Schizosaccharomyces pombe: one gene and its partner. The gene in region 1 interacts genetically with each later gene. Each region holds a gene or a part of one and is shown in the gene's direction. Other genes may lie near its edges.

What was found. A genetic interaction does not mean that the proteins touch.
Region 2: mutations in ubc6 (region 1) and SPOM_SPBC32H8.01C together harm fitness less than expected from each alone (positive genetic interaction), as found in Schizosaccharomyces pombe (one large-scale study listed by BioGRID).

Annotation. Positions count from the first base shown.
Region 1 is NC_003424.3:1,214,205-1,217,753, reverse strand, and holds ubc6 (ubiquitin conjugating enzyme Ubc6), read left to right. Parts: upstream 1-1,805; 5' UTR 1,806-1,825; coding exon 1,826-1,852; exon of another isoform or gene 1,853-1,892; coding exon 1,893-2,031; exon of another isoform or gene 2,032-2,115; coding exon 2,116-2,633; 3' UTR 2,634-2,966; downstream 2,967-3,549. Other genes in the region: RNA-binding protein Vip1, read right to left, coding at 1-583; RCC domain-containing protein Ats1, read right to left, coding at 2,973-3,549. UniProt on the Schizosaccharomyces pombe protein: Catalyzes the covalent attachment of ubiquitin to other proteins. Functions in degradation of misfolded or regulated proteins localized in the endoplasmic reticulum (ER) lumen or membrane via the ubiquitin-proteasome system.
Region 2 is NC_003423.3:1,449,871-1,453,208, reverse strand, and holds SPOM_SPBC32H8.01C (uncharacterized protein), read left to right. Parts: upstream 1-2,084; 5' UTR 2,085-2,104; coding exon 2,105-2,194; intron 2,195-2,272; coding exon 2,273-2,322; exon of another isoform or gene 2,323-2,414; coding exon 2,415-2,838; downstream 2,839-3,338. Other genes in the region: NEDD8 protease Nep2, read left to right, coding at 1-1,022; kinetochore protein Mis15 , read left to right, coding at 3,054-3,338.

The DNA of each region.
Region 1 (3,549 bases):
CAGAAGTGCCAGCAGCAGTTTCAAGAGCTTTGTGGAAATATGTGCTAACCAAAGAAGAGGTGCGGTTCAATTTGTCAGAAATGGCAAATTTATTATCAACCTCATTGGCCTTTTCGGTGACATGATAACGTTCGTTAACAGAACGAACGCCAGACAAAGCAGACTCGAGGATCCCCTTGAATTTTGAAGAAACGCCATAGCTTTGGTCTAGTTGAATACTCTTTTCCAAAGTTACATCGCTCAAATGATATCCGCGACTTAAAAGTTCAGAGATTATAGCTGAACGAGGCTTGTCTTCTTGACGAGCGGCTTGATCGCCTCCAGCACCTCCTTGATCGGTAGTAGAAGCAGCACCACCATCTTCACTGGTGATTTGGATTTTGTTTTGTCCAAGGAGAGCATCTTGCAAAAGTAAGGCCGTCTTGGTGGCGCTAGGGCGTTCAAATTGGATTTTCGCGGTTTGGGTTTCTCCAGATTTCTCGGTAGAGATGTTGGACACTTTACCGCAGAAAGAAAAGAAGTCTGAGATTTGTTTCTCAGTAACTTCAGGAGAGATGTTCGTTACAATAACTTGGTTGCTCATTACTTTTGTTTCAACTGGTAATATGGAGATTCAAAGTACGTTGAGTGCCATGGAGGCTGCTTTTAAGTAGTGATCATCGATGACGACATCCTCCCAATTACGATTAGATTGAGCCCAACGAAAAAACCACAAAAATGCAAAATTTCCTGACATTTCTAACTTGCCCTTAGCCTATATCACGGAAAGTTGACTTTGTGCTGCTTTGTTAATGCCACTACTTCATACTTTAAATCTGATATTACATTAATGAACGTGTGTTTTCAAAAGATTGCAATTATCGCGATAAGTGAGCCTAAATCAAAATGAAGCTGAAAATAGATGACAATTATCTTTTTATCTGAATATCACGATACAATTTTTATTGGTCACTGTAAACTAAATAGGATAACACTTAGATACTTTGCTGTACTCATGATTTCTTGACTTGGTATACTAGTTGGCTTTGTTCGTTGCATGGCAAAGTGCATAAATTGTGGAAAAAATATCCATTAAATTGCTATTACGAAGTAATTTCCGCTTCTACTATGTTTCGATAAATTCATAAACTTAGGACCGACATTAATTTTCCCGATATCGGCATATCCGGACAGTGAAAACTGATGTTTCTAGAAAACCGAATTTGCTGGATCGCCTTTACGGTCTTTCTAAAGAATGCGAAAGAAATATATGAATAGATTACCTCGCTTGTTCCTTTTCTCATGTTAGTCATCCAAATTGTTTCTTATTGAATAATGAGCAAAATTATCAGGTATATTGAGAAGGCAAGAGAAATATAAATGTTAGACCTACAATAAGTAAAACAAAGATAAGTTAAAGGCTTTCCTTGCTTCAAAGCATTTTTTAATCTATTTTCTCGATCTTACTTCCTCAATGTACATAGGTTAACAATATTTATATTTTACATTTGGGCTTAAGCTGCGTATAGAGAAAATAAAATATCATAAATATCATAGGTATATTGCTACAAAAGATAGAAATGAAAACCTCTTTTACAAGTAACTGTGTTATATTTACGAATTGGTGATTTGAATAAACCGTTGTACTTGAAGTTGGCACCTCACCTCGGAGTTTGTTGGTGTTTTATATTGATTAACCTACAAAGACACTTAGTCTAGTAGAGATTGTGCTTTGAATTTGTAAAAGACAAGAATCACCTAACTAGCCGCTAACCTGGTAATGTAACTGTGAGCGGATTATATGGTTACATGTTTTCTCACTTCCACAAACTTCACAAACACAACGATGGCGTCGAAAGGTGCTTATAAACGGGTATGGATTTATAATTTTAAGCTTCTTCTAATTATTTTAGTTAATGAAAGAATATCTAGCTCTTCAGAAAAACCCTGTTGAGCTTGTTGACGCTAAACCTGCAACTGAAAACATTTTGGAATGGCATTATATTATCACTGGCCCTCCGGACACTCCATATGAAGGAGGACAATATCATGGTATGTTTCTTTTAAATTTCCTTCTGTAATCAATATGTGCATGAACTTTTGGCTGTTGCCATCCTTTGCTAACTTTGCGTACAGGGACATTGATTTTTCCTCCCGATTATCCTTTTAAGCCACCTGCAATTCGCATGATTACTCCAAGCGGACGTTTCCAAACGAATACCAGACTTTGTCTTTCTTTTTCTGACTTCCATCCAAAATCCTGGAATCCCTCATGGATGGTTTCTACTATTCTGGTGGGACTCGTTTCTTTCATGACTTCTGATGAGATTACCACTGGAGGTATTGTAACTTCGGAGTCTACCAGGAGAACTTACGCAAAGGATACGAAGAGATTTAACATTATGGATAATCCTAAATTCTTAATAATGTTCCCCGAGTTAATTGACAAAAATAGGGAAGACATTGCCAAAGCAGCTGCTGAAGCGGCCCTAATCGAACCCCAACAAATTCACTCCACTCCTGTATCTTCCAATGAATGCAAGAAGAATGAACCGTTTAATTCAAAGCAAAGCTGGGTTAAAAGTCGCTGGAGCATAGCAGTTTTGGTGTTTTTTGCCCTTGCTTTAGCTCGTTTTTTTGGAGCTGATTCTTAAGATGTTATGCTTTGTATTTATTTTATTAACTTATGAAAGCGTTTTTGCATTTGATCCTCCGATAAAGAGATTAATGCCAAATAGCGCTTTGCCGTCCTTATATGTTTATTTTTTTTCTTTCGTTGCCTGTTGCCCCTTCATCTCTGCATCACATGTCGCGCTTCAATTAAAACTAAATGGAAGTTAATCTTTGTTCTAGTTTCTTTTTATAGACAATTGTCTCTTAGCAATTGCTTGATTTTTAGCTTACTAAACTACATTTTTTTAAATGTCGTCAAATGTTATTAAAGCTTCGACATTTCGGTAGAAAATAAAATTAAATTTTAGTTACTCAATTCATTATTTGTGATTTTCTTCAATCACTATCCAACTCGTTGCATATCCAGCGGCCACAATATAGGCCCAGCCTGGTAATTGAAGAGTTTTTGCATCATAAACATCTCTTTTATCATCATTCGAGGCATTTCCATGCTCATTCCAACCGTATATTAAAACACTTCCTTTCTTTGTCCTTAAAATATTGTGCTCAGTTCCACTGGCGATTTGGACGATATCACTTGCTTTTGTATGGGCCTTCTGAGCACGATCACAACGACCAAAAGCATAGACACAGCCTTCAGTACTTAATAGACTCAAGGTAGACCAGTTTGCTGATATAGAGCAGATGGAAGAAGACAATTCACTGTTATTTGCTTGCCAAGCATCACATTCTGCTGCTACATTCCACTTCTCCCCTCCTAAAACAATTACATGTCCTGTTTCTTGCAATACTGCACTGAACTGTACACCACATACAACAGCTTGAGCATGTTCAATACGCCCGAGAAATGAAACCTTGTTAACTGTTTTCATAACTACCGGTCCAAGTTGTCCTTTGCGGCCATCTCCACAACCATACAAGTTCCCTTCATTTGTA
Region 2 (3,338 bases), on another chromosome or scaffold:
TTTCCCTTCGCAAAAACGACGTCGACCACTTTCGTCCTGGGTATTGGATCCTTGATACAAACATCGATTTCTTTTACGAAATTATGTTGCGTCAAGTCTTGCTCAAACGTCCCAAGGAGGAGAGTCAACAAATATACTTGCTTCGTCCTGCTATGGTCTTCTTTTTGGCCCAGGCTCCTAATCCTTTGGAAATCGAGTCTGCCTTACCTCCTGCCATGTTTGATGCATCGTTTATCTTTCTTCCTATCAACGATACCAATGAGTGTGGTATCGAGAGCGGCTCGCATTGGAGTTTGTTAGTCGTCTCCGTTGAAAAAGGTTTGGGCTGGTACTATGACTCCATGTCCAATGGTAATACCAATGACTGCAACCTTGCCATCAAAAACCTTGGCATTCTCCTTAAAAAGGAATTCCGTGTCCGACACATGAAGACTCCACAACAAATTAATGATTGTGATTGCGGCCTTCATGTTTGCGAGAATACTCGTATCCTCATGTATCGTCTATTGCAAAAGCCTTATGTACCCAAAGTGGACATGAACTTGGACCATTCTGTTGTCGATAGTGTGCGTCTTCGCAAGGCACTAATGGAGGTCATTACTTCTTTACTTGCTGCTTATGGCTCCAAGGTACCCAAGCCTTCAGAAACGCATACCGATCCTGAAAAAGATAAAAAGATCTTTTCTAAAATATGCAAGACGGAAGAGTTGTTAGAGCTACCTACGCTAAGCGCTGTTACTTCTGATTCGGCCCAACCGCATTCTTTGCCAGCTTCTATGCCCAGTTCGCAACCTCAATCAAGGTCGGAATCTTTGCCGCTCACACATCCCAATTCGGAACCAAATCCAAAGCTCGATTCACAGCCCAACTCCTCACCAGTTCGTAGGCCATCATTAATAAAGGTAAAGACCGCTAGTACTTCTGTTCTTCCAACCTCGATACTTCAGAGACCACCCTCAATCGTACCGAGACCGGAAACCGCAGCTATACAACATACACAACAATCCATTGAGATTCATTAATTTCCTCTGTCTCCCAAAATGCAACTTGCTTTGAAGTGAAGTTTGGATGTCTGATTTATTTTTTGCTTCATCATCGAATTGCATCGCATTGCTTTTTTCATCCATTTTTTGCCGCTATTTCCGTGTTTCAAGCATACAAGTTTTATCGGATTGTTCAGATGGTTATTTTTTTGAGTCAAGTTTTGTCATTGTAAATCTTTAGATGTTCATTTGCATCCTCATATAGTCGTGAGAGATGAGGTATGAACGGATGTTTGTGTGTTATTTATGGAGGCTCGTCTTTTATTATTATTATTATATGTGTTTGGTTCTCGGTTCCTTATTATTATTATGTTGCTTGCTGGTTATTTTCTTGCACAATGTTGCTTATTTTTTAACTTGCTATTCCTTTTAGATAAAGGTATCTGGGTATAAGATTCCACTTATGCTGTTGCTGTACATTGCTGGTTTATCCGGTCACTCGTTTTTCCTTTTTTTTTTTCATTTTTCCATTGTTGATAAGAATTTGTCCCTTTTCTTTATCATTTCTAAATATTTATTTATCTTTGTATTGTCATTACTTATGCGTTTCATTTCTAAATCACTGATTTTTGCAATGTTTTCCATCTTTAGGTTTCCACCTTTTACTTGCTACAATTTTTATGAACAAACAAGTTGATCAATAGAAAATTTTGGAATTGCTTCCAGTGTTTTATTTTACCTTCCCTTTACAATAGGCTGAATAGACTTTACGAGTTGTATTCATTGTCCGAGGAAGGTTTTCAATAAGAAGTTTTGTTAACATGCCTTTTAATTGAATATGTATATGTGGGTGTACGTTGCACTAAAGCCTTTATTTATTTATTTATTTTTTTTGATCTGAGCAAAAAAAGTCAACATGTTGCTTAGTTGTCTATACAATGTTTGGGCAATTGCAAAAAAAATCAATAAAATAGATTGAGTATTTTATTTTTATTTTAGTTATAAATTAAATAAATTAAGTATTCTGTGGTGCTTGAACCGTCTATTAGATAAATTGATGTGTGAGTGTAATTCAGGCGATTCACCCCTTCTCTCTTCTTTACCTCAAATATAAAGTAGTAATGTTGAAGAAAATGCCGATGTCCAATAAATTTGAAAATTTCTATACATTGAGACAAGTTTCAGAAGTAGATAAAAAACCATGCTTTATTGTAAGAAACAACAGCAATTAAAAATTGCCCATTACCTTGATGAAGCACCATTTTCTAATACACTATTATCGTTTCTAGTGTTACAAGCCTACAAAATGGGTATTAATAACAAAAACTAAATTAGATTTGTAAGTAATCATTGTGAAAACCTTCATGGTTTGAGTTGATACATAATTTAATGGGAAGGAAAAAGTTTTTTTAACCAACAAAATAAAAATAGTTTTTATGTTTGCTACAATCATTTGCAAGATCGAGGTTTTGCTACACCAATTTCCGTGATTAAATCAGTGACTAACAAAATCGACACCAACAAACTAGAAGCTAAGGATGAGTCAAAAAACGTAGAGAAGGATGCGACCGGTAATCCACAAGAATCAAAACAGGAACCAAATTTAGAAGTGCAGCAGACAGAGAAGGAGAAAGATGTAGATTCGGCGTCTGCCGAGAATGAATCTATCAACTCCTCCTCCTCATCTTCTAAAGAATGTTCAACACAGACCCAATCCAAACACTATAATCTTCATCGAGATATTTTCCAAATGCGAATTCGATATCATGCTAATAGAGCAGCTGCCGAGAAAACAGCAAGACTTCTGCAATCTGGGCAAGGACTCCCTTCACCACCATCCAAACCATTGCCTTAGAAGAACTTGGGAAGAGTTAAATTTGCTTACAGCTGGTGCTGCCAAATGATCTCAAAGACCATTCTTTTGTAACATTAATATTTAACAAAACAAATATATCTGAAATCCTTCGTTAGTGATCAGTGTTTGAGAGGATAAAAAATTAGTCCACGGTAACGATTGATATATTGTGGCTCCTTGTCGTAAACATAAGATATTCAAAAAGGAGGACCGCTATGCGTACTGAATTGTCTAGTAATATTCGAATCAAGCATGACAAGAAGATCCAGAAGCTATTAAATCGATTTCCTAGGGATTTCTTAGTAAAATTGTGTGTAGAATGGATTCAGAAGCAAACATACCCACCAAATGCCAAAGACATCAATTTAGAAGATATGTTGGACGATGAAGAGTGGAATCCCGAAGCATTTTATAAAAATGTTCCAAAGAGCATGCTCAAACGCAGCATTATTCATCGAATGCTTGTGTACGATTGGCCTAATGGATTCTACTTGGGCCAA